3 linked regions of the Arabidopsis thaliana genome follow. The protein of the gene in region 3 interacts with the protein of the main gene of each other region in a pairwise test. Each region holds a gene or a part of one and is shown on either strand. Other genes may lie near its edges.

Region 1 (6,300 bases), 3.4 Mb from region 3:
CTAAACTTGATCACGAGAATTTGTAACCTCAGCCGATTAGCCCGAAATATTCATCAGAACAAGACGAAGACTCCAATTCTTCATACTCCGTCCCAATCAACCGCATCAACTTGATCAATCCACCAAGGAGAACCGATGCTCTAAACAAGCCCTTTTGGCGGAGCAAGGAATTACCTTCACTTGGGAGAAGAATCAAGCACTCAATGAACAAGGATCCATTTGATGACTTCTGGAATTTTCATCTTCCCGAAATTGGAAGAGTTAATTTGAGCCTGCAAAAGGCAACCAAAAGAGAAAGAAAGAAAGTAAATCCGAACAAGTCGGAAAGAGAAACCGGCATCAAAACAGGAAATCTAAAACACAAACCAAAAAGCTCTGATTGAAGACGGAGATTACAAAAGAAAAACAGAGCTCCCTCTCTGTAAAAGATATGAAAGAGAGAAGAGATAGAAAACTCTTTTCATTAAATGTTATAATACGAAAATGATATTCAACTATTTGTTCTCAAGAACAAGATGAGTGTCGTTAACATTAGAGTGTGAATATATTTTTGTTATAAAAATTGTCATGCGTTACGGAAAAAACAAAATGGTCATGCGTTTGGCTACACTGGTTCTTTTGGGCCTAAAGGATTTTATTTTACGTGCTCGAGTAACTTGGGCTATGGCTAGTGGATTTAGAAGTGGACTGTGTCAAAGAGTCAAAATAGATAGGCTAAAATTTCTGGTGGAAAGAATTAAGCCGAAAGGTCAACGGTATGGTACAAAGCAAAAAGGCAAATGGACCATTATTGCCAAACTTTTATTTTTATTCATTCAGATTTTGTGTCAAATTGCCAAGTTTAGAGACACATAACAGTAGTACACTTTTGCACTGACTATCAATTTAAATACGAATTCTCACTGATTAAACTAATTAAGACGCATCATTATAAATTTCTTAAATCATAAACACTAGAATCCAAAATCGATTTTCATTTTTCCCTCTTTTCTTTTTTGAATTCTTTCCTTTTTTTGATTCCTTCTTCTTCTTTAAATTCAAAATAATCTCTTATCTCTATGTCGATTGATGGTGCGAAAGAGAAAAAATTGTGCCTCAATTTGCTTAATTAACGAAAATTCGTGATTAAATTGAAAATCAACATAAAAATTGAGAATTTAAATTACCAGATACAGAACTCATAGTTTAAATCAACAAAAATAGTAAACTACTGATTTAAATGACATTTTTCCAAAAAAGCAAATTGTACAACATATTGTGTGATTTGGACCATATGGTACCAAACCATTATAACTAAATTAGATAATTTATGTTTATATTATTATTTCTTCTCAATATATAAGAGATTTATATAATAACCAATAACTATAAAATGATGAAAATTAACAAAATAACATCATAAGCTCAATACCTTAGGAGAGAACATATTTAACGTGTAACTGTCAAAGTTACTCCAAACAAAGTTTGTGTTCTTTTTTTATAAATAACAATGTTTGTGTTGAATGACCTCAATGAAGAGATTTGTTTGATAGTATTAAATAGCTAATATTTTCTTAAATTTTAGTATAGTTATGACATATTTGTATATGGCCTATTTGTATATGATCAGTATTATTCTGTTTTATTGTCTTAAAAATGATCAATATTATTCTGTATTTATAGATAAAAGGCTATTTTTCGCTTTGGAATAATTTTTAATTTCAAGAAATACATACTAGTTTTATTTATTCATTTAGACATGTTTGACATGAGTAGTTGATGAGTTTGTCAATTTTGAAATACCCACTGAGAAAATTTATTTTGTTTTACATAATGGAACTTCCTCTAACTTACGAAACTCTTAATTTTAATATAAATAAACAAACGAAAGAAACGAAAATTGGTCAGTTTTTTTTTTTTTTTTCTCTTCTGGTCAATGCCATCTCTCTCCCTCGTCTTTTCAGTTTCCTAATTTCCATTGTTTCTTCAAAACAACATTTCACAGATAGCTCCACCACGACCTGACGAAGATCCTCCGCGTGAGCAAGTTTCATGTTCTTCTTCTTCTTCCGATTCATAGTTTTTTTTTTTTCCGGTAACTTGTCATCAATTAGATCTCGTCCGAAGTTGAATCTTTAGTTCGCGAGCTTTTGGACAACTTCGAGGTAAAATTCGTTATTCTCTACACAACTTCCGATTAACGCTTGTGTAGCTACTCTCAACTTTGCTGCTTGATCCAATCTCGTCTTAAGTTGATTTTAGCTGCGAATTGGAACCGAATTGGTTTTTATGTAAAACTGTTACTTTTTTTGTGCGTGTATTGTTAAGAATGATGGATCTAGTTATATAAGCTTGAAAGAAGTTAGTTTCTTTGGTAGGTCTTAGCTTTGCAATGAAATTGTACGAACACGATGGAGTTGATTTAGAAGATGGGAAGACAGTAAAATCCGGAGGAGATAAACCAATTCCAAGAAAGATACATAACCGGGCTTTGTTATCCGGTTTAGCTTATTGCATTTCATCATGCAGTATGATACTTGTCAACAAGTTTGTTCTCTCCAGCTACAACTTCAATGCTGGGATCTTCCTTATGTTATACCAGAACTTTGTCTCGGTGATCATTGTGGTTGGTTTGAGTTTAATGGGTCTAATAACTACTGAACCACTTACTTTGAGGTTGATGAAGGTCTGGTTTCCAGTGAATGTCATCTTTGTTGGTATGCTTATCACAAGCATGTTTAGGTAAGAATGTGTTTCTACACCTTTATTTTGTGTTGGTTTGTTGAATTATATATCGATGCTCTCTTAATTCTCAAGCCTATAAGATTACTAAATTAGTAAAGTCAACTTTTTGGAGTACTAAAGGTAGTTATAAGAATCTGTACATCATCTTTACAGCAGATCGAGGATTAAATAACGTGTAGACACTTAGGTGAAACAGATAGATATTTTGGATTTACTTCACAGTAGGTCGAGATATATAGATATGTATCGTATATGTGTATGTAGGCGGTGTTTGAAGAGCAGATTGAACTTGATTGTCTATTTGAATTACATTTTCTTTGACAGTTTGAAATACATCAATGTAGCAATGGTCACTGTCCTGAAGAATGTCACTAATGTGATAACTGCAGTTGGTGAGATGTATCTGTTCAACAAGCAACATGACAACAGAGTGTGGGCTGCTCTCTTCTTAATGGTATGTTTGTCTGCTTTAAAAGTATTTCTAACTGATTCTGTAAATTGTACCTGAGAAAAAACTATTCTCAAGGAACCTATTTCAAGCTGCACATAGATAGCATTTTGATTGGAGTTTTTGAAAGATATCCTTGTCAAACAACGATTCTATACTGTTTTGGATTTGGTTTTCTCTTGTTTTCTCAAAGCACTCTCTGATCATCAACCTTAACCAATAAAGTCTAAAGCATATCTTCTTATTGATAAGTGATCCACCCTTTTGTGTGCGTACACAGTTACACTTGTCGTAGCGGCTTTCAGTGGTGTGGCATAGCCTAACCTTTCAATACTGTTGGAGATACATGTTTTTAACTGCTTCCACAATTAGTCTGCCAGGGAAATGTAATCATGTTTTTTTGTCACGGCTACTCATTGTTATATGTATATTCTATTTGTTTTTGTATAGATCTTGAATAAGTAGAGGATAAAGTTTTGATTAACCTGTGCTTCTTTCGTCCTTCATTTGCAGATAATTTCCGCAGTTTCTGGAGGAATAACAGACCTATCATTCAATGCTGTTGGCTATGCTTGGCAGATTGCTAATTGCTTCTTAACTGCATCGTACTCGGTGAGTAAACATTTGATCATTTGTGTTTTCTTTTCCCAAAATGTTAGGAGTCATTTGAAACAATAAACACATATATGAAAAGGAGATCACTTAAAAACCATGCTTTCATGTCGAGTATTACATGCTGTTTGGTTAAGACTAAGTCAATAAACTAAACAGCCTTCCCTATAATCATTACGATACTGGCTTGCTTTTGAGTTTTAAGATGCTCACGAGATACCGAGATTCTGTTACCTTAGAAAATTTTATAGCTTGCAATCCATTGTCACTGGTAACCTGAGTACTTCACTCGTTGTTAGAAGTAGGAATAGCATGTTAAAGAGAAGACTTTGGGCAAAGAATGCAAATTGACACCATCAACTTCTCAGTTCTCACTAGGTTTTCCATTGCTGGGTCAAAAAACGAGAGTGTTAGACTGTTAGGTTCCCATAAATTTATCCCTATATCCTGTCAACAAAAACCAAGTGTTTGGCTTGTTAGCTAGGCTACTATACTCTTATAAAATTTGCCACCACTTTTGACTTGCCTTATATTTTGTTGTTTTGCAGCTGACTTTGAGAAAGACCATGGATACGGCCAAGCAGGTTACTCAATCTGGAAACTTGAACGAGTTCTCCATGGTCTTGCTTAATAACACACTTTCATTACCACTTGGGCTTCTTCTTTCTTATTTCTTCAACGAGATGGATTATCTCTATCAAACGTGAGTTCCTGTCCTTATTTCTGTGTCAATGGAAAATGGTTTGTGTCATCTGAAAACAAAATGGTGTATTATATTTGTGCAGGCCACTTCTACGATTACCAAGTTTCTGGATGGTCATGACACTTAGTGGACTTCTAGGGCTTGCCATTAGCTTTACTTCAATGTGGTTTCTTCATCAAACTGGAGCAACAACATACAGGTAGCAAATTAGAGAGAGATAGAGCAATTTCAAAACTTTGCTTAAGAGAGTGTTGCTGTCCCCTAGCCTTCTCCATATATCCCTTTCCTATGTTTGCTTCTTTGTTGGTTCAGTCCTAACTAGATACATCTTTCGCTTTATTCAAAATCATAGCCTGGTGGGATCTCTAAACAAGATACCTCTATCCATCGCGGGGATCGTTCTTTTCAATGTACCGACCAGTTTGCAGAACTCAGCAAGCATACTCTTTGGTAAGCGTTCTCTCGATCAGTTCCCTTTTCCAACTTCTTGAAGGAACACATATCGCTTGTGTTGTGTATTATTATTAAACCTGAGGTGGCCTAATTTGCAGGTCTTGTCGCTGGAGTTGTATTTGCTAGAGCCAAAATGAGGGAGAAGTCCTAAAATACTAACCATCTACAACACATTTTACTACATCAATCAGTATAGGACATGGCAAAAGCTGATTAAAGCAGAGCAATGAGTTTATAACCTCAGAATTCTATGCACGTTATGTGTTTCTTGTAAAAGCTTTCGCCACTCTACTTGTATAATGTTAGTAAAATATTAATGAATGTATCGATTCTTGAGTGGTAAGAGAAGTGTTGGTTTATGTGTTTCTTCGTTTTTACCAATTTTCCAGTAAAGAAATTCAATGGTATGAGATTTCAACATAAACTGAAAACCCTAGCCACCTGATGATCAAGAACGACGGAAAGATGATGAGAGTGAGAATTGCGAAGGAGAGATCTGACTTATGCGACTTGACTGCTGCTGCAATTAAGGCTACTTACAATACACGGAACCCATGCGAAGTCGAGCGATGCATCGATGTGTTGAATCACTTGAAGTCTCTGTCTCTTTCCGTGAAGGATATACGATTGTCTGAATCAATAGTTAAACTGGAGACTTTGAGAAGTCATAGGAACCCTAGAATCCGTAAGGAAGCCCAAGCCTTGTTTCATTCATGGTTGAAGACATTCTACGCACATGGAAGCGACAACTCTTTCACAGCTGCTCTTACCAAAGATCGTCTGAAGATGAAGAAGCATGTTCTAAAAATGTGTTCGGAGTTGAAGAAGAAAGAAGAACCGGGAACTATGGCTCGTCAAGTCACTGCCTTTTCGGTGTTGAAGAATAAAGAAGACGAGAGATCTCAGACGACTGTTGAAGCAGTAGAGAGTAAGACAACGATCAAACTCTCGGAGTTGAATAGGAAAGAAGATCAGAGATCATTAACTCGTGAAACAGAGAAGAATAAAGCAAGGAACAGCTTTTTGGCTTTGAAACAGAAAGAGGATCATAGATCTGAGACTTGTGTCGAGAAATATTTTAAGAAAGAGACAAAGACCAATCTAAAGCAGCTCAACATGAAGACAAGGCGTGTCTCTTTGGAGGATGTTACAACGAAGAAGCCACATGAAGATGGTTCATTGATAAAGAAGACTAAAACAGAAAAGGAGCTGAAGAAGAAGAAAGTGGATGAGATGGTGAAGTTGTTCGAAGCAGCAAAGAAAGCTGCTGATGTGGCCAACGCTAAGGGTGTTCTCTCAGGTAAACCAGAGGTGTCTCGCTGCATTGACGCTCTCTCGTTATTGATGAAGATCAACATTA
Region 2 (5,290 bases), on a different chromosome or scaffold from region 3:
CTTCTCTTTGTACTAACGTGTAATCCTCGCGAGTCTTGATAGACTATATGGCGTGGTTTATAACAAACCTGGCCCGTTTATTCCGGCCCAACATCATTATATCTCGGCTTATATATGGTCTCCAGTCTCCAATAACGGGCTATATATGATTTAACTAATGGATTCAAATACGAAATCTTGAATCCACATGGTAGACTAACCTATGCCAGATAACGATTATGAGACAAAGTCGCTTATGCACTGTGTTTTTCCTTATGTATATGAATTTCTTTTGTTAATGAAATTTATTTGTATAAGGTAAATAAGATATGAAATTCTGTTAATGAACTTCTTGTTTACATCAAATTAAAAGATGATATTTTATATGTAAAAAGCTGACGTGTAAGCTGATCCGAGAAAACCAAGAAAGATAATGTAGAGCATTGAAGTGTATATGTGAAATTTTTAACACGTTCTCCTTAAAATAATGCTTTTATCCGTCTATTTCAAACAAAATTCTAATATTGGACCAAAAATTATATATCGAACAACACATCTTTCTCAAGTTAGCTAAACTTTAATACCATGTTAAAATCTATGGACTTTCAACTCAAGAATTGGTCCATACTATAACTTAGTTGGTCCATATTATATTATATATATTAAATGTTGGTTTATTTTTAACTTGTTCATTCGGTTAAGAATTTTTATTGGATATTTGATAATAAACTAAATTTGTAAAAAAAAACTGTTTCTTTAAGAGATCATTTTAATCAAATACTAAAGATCTTTTTTTACTTCAGTTCAGAACAAAGCGTTTGATCTAATCCATTTTAAACATCCCCGACAGTGATAATTACTAAAGATCATAAATGCAAATTATAACATTCTATTGATGATAAAGGAAAGAAAAACCCCACAAGAAATGTAAGAAAAAATGGCACTAATATATCAGCCAGATATTATATATAGAAAAGTCTCAATCCAAAGCTCCCACATAGTCTTCTTCATCACTATCATCATCATCATCATCCTCATGAACAATGATGTCTCATCCACCATTTTTTTTCCTTTCTTCAAAAACCTTTCTTAGGTAATTAATAATTTTTTAGAAAAAAAAAAGAAGAGAAAACACTAAGAAAAAAAGCAGACACAAAAGTCATAAAACACAACGGCACACCATTGTTCCCTTTTAATTGGGTAATGGCATTTGTAATTATTAGCTGGAGAGTGATTTGTCCAAAGTAGTCAAACATTGTCCGTTGACTGATGGAGTAGTGGTGTTGTGATGGACGACTTGATGGAGTTGCGAGAAACAGGTGCACGTTCAATACCATGCTCCGCGGAGGACTGGATCGCTGCCTTCTCAAGCGCTGCAAATTTCCTCTCTTCGCTCTTACCGTACAATACGAAGTAAAGTCCCGCTATGATCAAGACCGCTCCAATAATCCTGCCATTAGAAATATGACATGTGGCACAACAAATTTTAAAATTATTCTTGTTTAGGACCTTGGATTTTATCAAGTATTTATATAAACCACTAATATTATTATAGTTTCATACCCGCCCAAATAAAATTCTTCGCCTAACGCAATAGAAGCCATGATCGCAACGACAAGAGTCTGAACAGGCTGGTAAACAGCAACGAAGACTGGACCCCCTCTGTCAATACACCAAATCTGAACCGCAAACGCGATTCCAGACGCTACGATTCCCTGAAGTTAAATCAATTCATTAGGACCAAATTGATTATTTTGAAACATTAGGGCCAAAAACGAATTAATTATAACAGATGAAAGAAAAACTAACGGCGTAGAGGATGGTGAAAAGCTCCCAACCGGAGTGAAAAACCCAAGCCTGAGAATCTCTTTCACAGAAAGCAGCAATGATCAAGAACTGAATGATTCCGAAGAAACAAGTGTAAGACGTAACCGAGAGCCTCGCTGGATAAGACTTAAGAACCGGAGCTTGGAAAACAAGCCAGCCTGACCACGAGAGACAGTGACCGATTAGGTAGATGCAACCAAGGGTCCAGTTTTTAGGCGCGGCGTTTCCTAGCGGCGCTAAGACGGCGGAGTTTGTGGTGAGTAGATGAGCGTGGAGGTGGCTAGCCGGAGTGTAGATGGTTGGACCTTTATAGAGGGTGATGACGGAAGCTCCGGCGACACAAAGAGCTGTTCCTAAGATTTTGGAGATACCGTCTCTTCTGTTTATTCTTACTTTCTCAATCCTGAATTATTGTTTTTTTCACATACAGTACATAAACAGTATGTTACATTGTTGTTACTACTATGATTATCACTATTTTGTAAGCAAATGGAAACGGCATTAAATATTGTCTACGTGTATTATTATCCGTTTCTTTTACGTTGAAAAGTCAAATGGACATTATTAAAGTGGTTCTTGTATATCCAAGCTGTCCAAAATATTGTTATTTATTTTTATAAATCAAAAGAGAATGAAAATGGAGAGATGTGTAGAGTAAGTGCCTGAGAAGAGCAGCCATGAGAAAGGTAATGGCGGGAACAGAGTTTTGCATGGAGGAAGCAAATGTTGGTGAAGTGTTGTCCAGTCCCAACAAGTAAAATCCTTGGTTCGCTGTTATTCTGTCGTGTAATAATTCATTAACTAATTATCCAAATTTGTTATTGAAAAGATCAGAGTGAAGGATATAAATATATACCCTATGAGTGCCAAAAAGAAGAACTGGATGAGAAAGTTGAGAGTAATCGCTGGTCTCTCCTTCCTAAATTAACACAATTAAGTTTGGTAATTAAATAACTAGCAACTAGAGAAAAAATAGGGTTTTCAAATAAAGAAGTGAAGTGAAAATAGAAGGTTACTTTTCAAGGAAGTAAGCGAAGGGAAGGAGAAGAAGCAAGGCGATGATGTTACGATAAACAGGGAAGACGAGTTTGCTGATTCCCATGTTAAGAGCAGCTCGAGACACCACGTGGAATCCGGCGTAACCGAATTGCAACGTCAGCATCGCTATGTGAAGCTGAAGCTTCTCCGGAACTCCCCATAAGGATCTCCGATTATCGGTGTTATCCGCCATTGGATCGAGCTTAACAATCGATCAACGAAGGAAAAAGGCTGTGTGTGTGTGTGTTTGTGTGTGTTGATTGAGGAAAAGAGTGAAGTTGCGGAGATATAAATATAGGTAGATAGCAATCTCATTCCCCTCTTTGCTTGTGGGAACCACCATACTGAGATTTCTAATATGGTATCTATTAAACCTAATTATAACAATGTGAAATATTGAAATATATATATATATATATATATATGGATTTAGGTATATTAATGAGTTTTTGTTGTTTCCTATCATTTGATGTACACACCAAATATTGTTACTTTGGTCTACTGGCAGCATTCACTCCTTGATTATGATTTTTGAATTGGGAAATAAAATTTTAATTTATATTATTATTTCTCTATTGGGTTATATCAAGTATGATAATAATATAGGTTACTTTTTGTTTTACTATTATTACGTTCATTATTATTTTGTTTACAAAGCACACACACAACATAAATATATTTCAGGGAAAATCGCAAAAGGAGAAAGAAAAACTCAACGTATGATAGTTTTACCTAAGAAATATGATTTCTTTTGAGATATTAAAATAAACGATTGTGTTTTCGGATTTTCTTGGAAAAAAAAGACTCTTGAATTGAAAACTATCATACACTATTCTACTTAGCCTTATTGGAAACTATGACCACGTAAACAAAGTCGGGTTAAACTTATAATCAAACACGTTCACATGCACTTACCGTTACCAAAACGAGATAATAAAGTGACAACGTCTCACTAAGTCACAACTTCACAAACATTTTGTGGATGTTGGTACATCTCATATGTTTTAAAATCAAAATTTGAAGACATTCCCAAAATTTTGGACACTATATTTAACATTTATCATCAGCTTTTGTTTCACAACATGATACATTGTTAGTTAATTATATGCTTTCAAAACAACCAACTTTTCATTTATTGATTTCTAACAAGAAGAAACGACTATGAAGCTGTTGGTTAAATCTAAATCGATTAAACAAAGGGCCCGCAAATTTTTAACTGTGTACTATAGTGTTTTTAGAAAATAAAGAAGAGAGCTTAAAAATGTGTAAAAGGGCAAAGCCTGTCTCCCACATTCTTTTATTTTTCTGCTGTTTAGCTGACATGACAACCCTCACGCCACTACTCATTAACGCAACCATCATTATGATTCTTAATTTTTTGTATATCTAAAATCATTTAATTCTGAAAATCAAAAAGGTAAAAATAACAATAGAAAAAGCACAAAATATATCATTATTTACGACTCTATTCCTCAATTTGCACTCACTATCGTAGACATTATAATGGTTTTAGTTTGTCCTTTCCTTTGATATTTATTGAGCAGCATGGCATTGCTACTAATTATTACTTGTACAGTATAGTCTTCAGGAGAATAACACTCTTAATTATAAATGTACGACATTTCGTTTTAACATCTTTTATTTACTTTCTTTTTTGGTAAATATATTTCTTGATTTTATTTATGTTACATAATTAATTTTGTAGGGACGAGCCCCACGCGCACTGCCGAACCGTGAGACCCACAGTACCTCTTATTTCGCAGGCACACCCACACGATCAATATTTATGTACACGCTTACACCAATATTATTATCTGTATTTGTCCTCAATTATTTTAGTTTTATTTTTCTTGTTAATTTATTTTAGTTCTATTTTTTTGTGCTCATCGAATAGACGTGTGTAATTGTTTTCCAATAGTCAAATACATTTGTATCCCTATAGAATAGAATCATCGAAAATTTTATGGTTGCTTGCTTGTATATGCTTTCATTTTTCTCTTTCTTTTTGTCTTGTTATTTTTGGAGAGATCGACAATGTAAACCCAGAGAAACCAATTTAGTAAATTGTACACAGAAACATGTGCATATCCACGTGAAAACAAACCAAATATGTATTTTTCTTTCCTTCCACGAATGTATCACGACAAAAGAAATATCATGGCAAAAATTGTTCATGGAATATTATTTTGTCACAAATCTGTTTTAGATAAACTATATGCAGCAACATGTAAAACATAACAAAATATAACAATATGGAATTTTCATTACTTCATTATATTCCATTTCTATTACAAAAATCTTTTTTTTTTATGAACAATAACAAAGATATTTACCTTAACATTTTAATACATCTAGTTAAACTTAGTTATACTTTCACGTTACACTAATTTATCTAATTGCTCTATTTTATAAAATATATTTATTCTACCATTATCCCGATGAACCT
Region 3 (6,287 bases):
TGACGTCATTCAATAATCCGGCAAGCTTTACACCTTCGTTTAGCTTCTCCAACATTCACCAAATGATTCCTACGCCGTCGTCGTCCCATAACTCAAAGGCGTCGGTGAGCTCTGCTTCGTCGTCTAGCTTCTACTTTCCCCAGACGAGTCCTTCATCATGCTCTACTCCGTCGTCGTTCAGTCCAGACTCGTTTTCTCACTCCAACACCGGACCATGGTCGATCCCTCAGCCTTCCCCTGTGTTCTCATCCATAGCACCGGCCAGTTCTGCTCTGTCGTCGTTCGGTCCAGACTCATTTTCTCACTCCAACACCGGAACATGGTCGATCCCTCAGCCTTCCCCTGTGTTCTCATCCATAGCACCGGCCAGCTCTGCTCCGCCGTTGTTCGGTCGTGATTCATTTCCCCGCTCCAACCGCGGAAAAGGGTCGTTGATTCATAGGTCGCCTGTGCTTTCGGTCTTACCGCCGGCGCCTGTCTACTCCTCTAATCCGATGGTGAGATCATCTCCGCCGGGTCACCCATCTCCATCAGCACATTTGGAGGAAATGTCTAACCGTCCCCCGTTGCATCCTCAGCCTCGGGTTCCAGTCACGAGGTCCAACTCTGCGAAAGTCTCCGGTAGCAGGCCTAGAAAGTATCATAAAAGGACCAACAGTGAGCTATCAAGTATGTTGGTTGGGGACTCAAGCCGCGGCGAGGAAGGCGGATTTGGAAAGCTCATATATAATGAGGAAGCAATGAAGGAATTCTGCTCTGAGTATATGATCATGCCTAACCAAAGTGCTGTTAACAATAGTGATCAGAATCGGAATGCTGATGTTTTGATGATAACCAATACTGATTCGGGAGGTGCAAATGATGCTAAGAAATATAAAAGGTAAGCAAGACTGGGTGACTTATATTAGGGAACAATATTTTTTCTTTAATATATTTTATTATTATCTTTTGTGATGTATGGTTGTTGACATTTATTTATTCATATTGATGCTCTTTCAGAATGTTGGCAAACCGAGCCTCAGCTGCACGTTCTAAGGAGAATCGGGAAAAGAAGATTCGTGATATGGAACTCAGAGTAGAAACTCTTGAAAACACTCAAGCTTCACTGTTTGGAACGATGACACTTTTGGAGGTGAGACATATATATCACAATATCAACCATCTACTTGTCATGTCTAAGTTTCTTCTATAGGGAATTTGTTTAAACAAAACTATTGTTGTTGCATGCAGAAGGAAAACATAGTGATGATGAACGAGAATAAGTTAGCGAAGATTCGACTTCAATTACTAGAGCAACAGGCCCCTCTTCTTACTGGTACGTTTTAGCCACATATTTCTCTTCATAAAAAGAATTTTGAATGAGTTTTTACCAAATCTTTTTTTTTTTTTCCTTTTTTTTTCCTTTTTTTTTTACCAAAGTTTTTACCAAATCTTCAACTGTGAAATACGTTTATTTTTTTCTGCTATATCGAAAACTTGATGTCTAACTAGTATGTAAATCATTTTTATATGAGGTTCCTAACAAGATCCTTCATCGTACCATCGTTTTTTTATTTGAAAAAATATCCATGCTCGGTGACTGAAGAAGATATATAAGCTTTCATTTTTTTTGTTTTTGTAGCTTTAACTAAACAATTAGATGAACTCCGAAGGCTAGAAAAGGAGGCAAATGAACGAGGGAGTGTCGACTATTCTCAACTACTGAAACAACTGAAACAAAGTGAAGAGCTCCTTGCTGAAATCAACCGATTTAAAGTAGCAACTGGTCAGGGGATGAAAAATCCCAACCAGTTCGAGGGTTCAACCATGCATCAATCGGACCAAAACGTGTTCCAGCCGCAACTCAACACCTATGAGTTCAATCAGCACCAGCAATTGGACCCAAACATATTCAAAGAGCAATGCAATGTCAACGAGTTTAATCATGAGCAACCAAACCATGAATTTTATGGACATAACTAAAGGATTAAACATGTCTTCAAGTTGTTTTAGATTTATCTATATATGATTATAAATTTGTAACCGTGAGAGGGTTCAGACAATATGATTTTTTTTTAATATTTTTGTTTAGTTTATTTCATTAAAGCTTTGTTCTTTCATTTTTTTGTTATTGAGATTAATTTTTATTTTATCAAATTTGTTGAATTTGATAGAGAAATAAACATACTCTATATGTAATTAGACGAAAGTAGTCTTTTCCGACCAGTGGATGATTGCTGCTTTGGTCAACGTTTCAAAAGAATCGTTTTTTCTTTTAGTTCCTTCCTTCTTTCGCTATTTTCGCCATTGATTGCTGAAGAAAACACAGAGAGAGAGAGATTCACTTCCCCATTTCAGGTCAAATTTCTTTCTTTCTAATAGATTTATCTTCTCTATTTGGGGGAAATCAATTATTGTTGAAATCTCCAGCTAAAGGATCAAACTTTAGTTAGGGTTTTGGTTCTTCTTCAAAGTTTCTGACTTTTATTTTTGTTCGGAATCTCAGAAAATCAAAATGGGTGGTGGTGGTGATACAACAGATACCAATATGATGCAGAGAGTTAATTCTTCTTCTGGTACATCGTCTTCTTCGATCCCTAAACACAATCTTCACTTGAATCCTGCTCTTATCCGCTCTCACCATCACTTCCGTCACCCTTTCACCGGAGCTCCTCCACCGCCGATTCCACCCATTTCTCCTTACTCTCAGATCCCGGCGACTTTACAACCTAGACATTCTCGCTCTATGTCGCAACCGTCTTCTTTCTTCTCCTTTGATTCATTGCCGCCGTTAAATCCTTCTGCTCCGTCGGTTTCGGTGTCGGTGGAGGAGAAAACCGGTGCCGGATTTAGTCCTTCGTTGCCTCCGTCACCGTTTACGATGTGTCATTCTTCTAGCTCTAGGAACGCCGGAGATGGAGAGAATCTACCTCCGAGAAAGTCGCATAGGCGTTCGAATAGTGATGTTACTTTTGGGTTTAGTTCAATGATGTCTCAGAATCAAAAGTCTCCTCCTTTGAGTTCTTTGGAGAGATCGATCTCTGGTGAAGATACATCAGATTGGTCTAATTTGGTGAAGAAAGAACCGAGAGAAGGCTTCTACAAGGGAAGAAAACCAGAGGTTGAAGCAGCTATGGACGATGTTTTCACGGCTTATATGAATCTTGATAACATTGATGTCTTGAATTCTTTTGGAGGTGAAGATGGCAAGAATGGGAATGAGAATGTGGAGGAGATGGAGAGTAGTAGAGGTAGTGGTACAAAGAAGACGAATGGTGGAAGTAGTAGTGATTCTGAAGGAGATAGCAGTGCGAGTGGGAATGTGAAGGTTGCGTTGAGTTCTTCTTCTTCAGGCGTGAAGAGAAGAGCAGGTGGAGATATTGCTCCTACTGGTAGACATTACAGGAGTGTTTCTATGGACAGTTGTTTCATGGGGAAGTTGAATTTCGGCGACGAATCATCGCTAAAGCTTCCGCCTTCTTCATCAGCTAAAGTTTCCCCAACCAATTCAGGTGAAGGGAATTCAAGTGCTTATAGTGTTGAATTTGGAAACAGTGAGTTTACTGCAGCTGAAATGAAGAAGATTGCAGCTGATGAGAAACTCGCTGAGATTGTAATGGCTGACCCTAAGCGTGTTAAAAGGTAATAAAATAGTGATGCTTCATTAGACATTTTGATGTTGTTGTTGTTGTGACTTGACTGTTTTGATTTAACCATCTCGTTAGAATCTTGGCGAACCGCGTATCTGCTGCACGTTCAAAGGAGCGGAAGACGCGATACATGGCAGAGTTGGAACACAAGGTGCAGACACTTCAGACTGAAGCTACTACATTATCGGCTCAGCTCACACATTTGCAGGTGCGAGACAAAACAACAAACTATCATGTTTGAATAAGTCTGTAGTCTTATATTGTTTCCTTTGGTGGCTCAGAGAGATTCTATGGGGTTGACAAACCAGAACAGTGAGCTGAAGTTTCGTCTTCAAGCTATGGAGCAGCAAGCACAACTCCGCGATGGTATGCACATTATCAAAAGTATTCATTCTCAAAATTAGGGTTGCTGAGTCGCTTTAGGATTGTTTTGTATTCGAACTCGATGGAACCAAGTCAGTGTCTTGTCCTTATCCGAATGCTTTGTTTTACTTTCCATAGACGATTTTCTTCTACCGTAAGAACTTTCCCTTTTCGGTTTCCCCAGCCTTGAGTAGGAACAATGTTTGTGTATTCTATGTATGGAAAAACCTGAACCTTGTCCTTGATTATTTAGCTCATGGCCGCAAGATTGCACCCGAATTTTATCCATCCTTACCGCTAAATATGTCTCTTGTTTAACTTACTCTATTAAAAGATTTGATCTCTCCGGAGAATTTAGCTACCACGTTTCTTGATTTTTTGTAAGTTCTCCTAGAGAGGTAACATTTTGATATTCCTTGTTTGGCAGCTCTGTCAGAGAAACTGAATGAAGAAGTCCAGCGGTTGAAACTGGTGATAGGGGAGCCGAACCGCAGGCAAAGTGGGAGCAGCAGCAGCGAATCAAAGATGTCACTAAACCCGGAGATGTTTCAGCAGCTTAGCATAAGTCAGTTACAACACCAACAGATGCAGCATTCCAATCAGTGTAGCACAATGAAAGCAAAGCACACTTCAAACGACTAGGGTAAGTAAAACTGCGATCCGCAGTTGTCTAGTTACATATATGATAAGAATCTTTTGTGCAGAGTTCTGTTTTTGGAAGTTTTAAAGAAACATATATAAAGATTATGTCCGGGAAATTTGATCATATTTCCTGAAACATACACACATATATATAGTGGTAATGGAGGACTTTCTTTCTGGACCAGGTGATCTTATGTTGTTTTGGTCATATATTTACACAGTTAGGATTTTATTTCCCTTTGGATTTTGGATAATCTATGAGACAATTTTTAAGGTTTATAAATATTACTGGATCTAAATCGTTTTAACAGAGTCAAATGCTGTGAAATTGCTTCTCTCGCTTAGACTACTTCTCTCCAGCTTCATCTCCTCCTGTAGTCTTTATGGATTTTTATTACAGTAGGATCTTTCAACATGTTCTTGAATCTTATTAAAGTAAAATAGAATGATGGATTGGATACAACTGGGAGTGATGGCTTACATAAAATAAATTTCAAAAGAGAGTTTCAGGCCCATTGCTTTTCTGAAAAAATGGATTGTGAAGAAAATGAAGTTGAAAACAATGATGAAGAAGCTCAACGAAAAGAACATGCCAATCAGTTCACATATATATAGGAAGGGGTCTTGTACCCAATCCAGCATCTGAACGTAAAGATGCTCAAAGGCGGTTACAAAACATCAGTTCACATATCTTGATCGTATTCGTCTCTCGGGGTTACAAACTTCTTTCACATATTCTAATAGCCTTTATGTTCACAGTCCATGTTTGTAGTCATTATTGAATTCTTCTCGCCAATCAAATATTGAATTCTAAGCGTCTAAAGGTTGATTTGAAACAAAACTTACTTTATTAAAATATGTAAAATGAAAAGGGTACATATCAAAAGAGCATAAACGAATAGATTATCTAAGGTTGACCAACAAAACAAATGACATGCACATTGCTTTCACATAACTCCAATCGTCGTCTCTATCTTCTTCTCCTTCTGATTCTGAATCTGAATAATATGGATATGATTCTTCTGTCATCACAAATGGAGCATTGAATGATTGAGTATGTTTAAATCGTTAACACTAAGATCATCTAGTGGTCTGCAAAGGTGTACACGCTACAAGAAGCTTCAATCACCAAAACCATGGGTTACATGATCAATGCACTCTTTTTATTTAAGGTAATTTTAACAAGTTATGTTTGTCAAACCATTCAAAATGTTTCTTATTTCGCCAAACCACGTAATAAAAATTCAATTAATTTGCCAAATCACATAACTATCCCAATGTGAAGTCAAAGTCCACAAGATTTAGATACAAAATAAGGCGCAATAGTTATTAGGGTATCTGGTCAGTAACAACTGATATGGGAACTGGTGCACCTTCAAAAAGAAAATCAATAGAACAAAAATAAAAGCACACACAAAAACGTGTACGGAATGGGACGAAAACGATAGATTCTGCAAAAAAATCGATAGCTACTCTCATCCAATTGGCTATCACCCATCCTTTACAGCTTTCCTTCTGGTCCATTCATTCATATTCCACCAAGTTCATTATACTTATATTTCTTAAGGCTCCAACAGAAAAAAAAAACTAAATAAAAACTTGTTATTGATAGGTTAAATTAATATAACTGAACATTCTAAGTTTATGTAACCT

What was found.
Region 1: the proteins of AT2G21230 (region 3) and GONST1 interact in a protein complementation assay, tested with the Arabidopsis thaliana proteins (one large-scale study listed by BioGRID).
Region 2: the proteins of AT2G21230 (region 3) and WAT1 interact in a protein complementation assay, tested with the Arabidopsis thaliana proteins (one large-scale study listed by BioGRID).

Annotation. Positions count from the first base shown.
Region 1 is NC_003071.7:5,686,375-5,692,674, reverse strand, and holds GONST1 (golgi nucleotide sugar transporter 1), read left to right. Parts: upstream 1-1,903; 5' UTR 1,904-2,144; intron 2,145-2,357; 5' UTR 2,358-2,371; coding exon 2,372-2,721; exon of another isoform or gene 2,722-2,965; coding exon of another isoform or gene 2,966-3,048; coding exon 3,049-3,178; intron 3,179-3,685; coding exon 3,686-3,784; intron 3,785-4,332; coding exon 4,333-4,487; intron 4,488-4,569; coding exon 4,570-4,686; coding exon of another isoform or gene 4,687-4,690; exon of another isoform or gene 4,691-4,839; coding exon 4,840-4,937; intron 4,938-5,038; coding exon 5,039-5,091; 3' UTR 5,092-5,359; downstream 5,360-6,300. Other genes in the region: AT2G13660 (uncharacterized protein), read left to right, coding at 58-383; AT2G13640 (Transcription factor IIS family protein), read left to right, coding at 5,385-6,300. UniProt on the Arabidopsis thaliana protein: Involved in the import of GDP-mannose from the cytoplasm into the Golgi lumen. Required for the luminal synthesis of a variety of plant cell surface components. Is required for the correct mannosylation of the glycosylinositol phosphoceramides (GIPC).
Region 2 is NC_003070.9:28,337,055-28,342,344, forward strand, and holds WAT1 (Walls Are Thin 1), read right to left. Parts: upstream 3,222-5,290; 5' UTR 3,038-3,221; coding exon 2,823-3,037; intron 2,726-2,822; coding exon 2,663-2,725; intron 2,586-2,662; coding exon 2,469-2,585; intron 2,210-2,468; coding exon 1,789-2,209; intron 1,695-1,788; coding exon 1,543-1,694; intron 1,430-1,542; coding exon 1,228-1,429; 3' UTR 1,134-1,227; exon of another isoform or gene 728-1,133; 3' UTR 672-727; downstream 1-671. UniProt on the Arabidopsis thaliana protein: Required for secondary wall formation in fibers, especially in short days conditions. Promotes indole metabolism and transport (e.g. tryptophan, neoglucobrassicin and auxin (indole-3-acetic acid)). May prevent salicylic-acid (SA) accumulation.
Region 3 is NC_003071.7:9,092,267-9,098,553, reverse strand, and holds AT2G21230 (Basic-leucine zipper (bZIP) transcription factor family protein), read left to right. Parts: upstream 1-2,206; 5' UTR 2,207-2,337; exon of another isoform or gene 2,338-2,485; 5' UTR 2,486-2,494; coding exon 2,495-3,621; intron 3,622-3,704; coding exon 3,705-3,837; intron 3,838-3,910; coding exon 3,911-4,013; coding exon of another isoform or gene 4,014-4,033; exon of another isoform or gene 4,034-4,380; intron 4,381-4,419; coding exon 4,420-4,634; 3' UTR 4,635-4,635; exon of another isoform or gene 4,636-4,947; intron 4,948-5,134; 3' UTR 5,135-5,418; downstream 5,419-6,287. Other genes in the region: AT2G21235 (Basic-leucine zipper (bZIP) transcription factor family protein), read left to right, coding at 1-880, 1,000-1,132, 1,231-1,315, 1,622-1,962. UniProt on the Arabidopsis thaliana protein: Transcription factor that acts as a repressor of reproductive development, meristem size and plant growth. Acts as a transcriptional repressor in inflorescence tissues.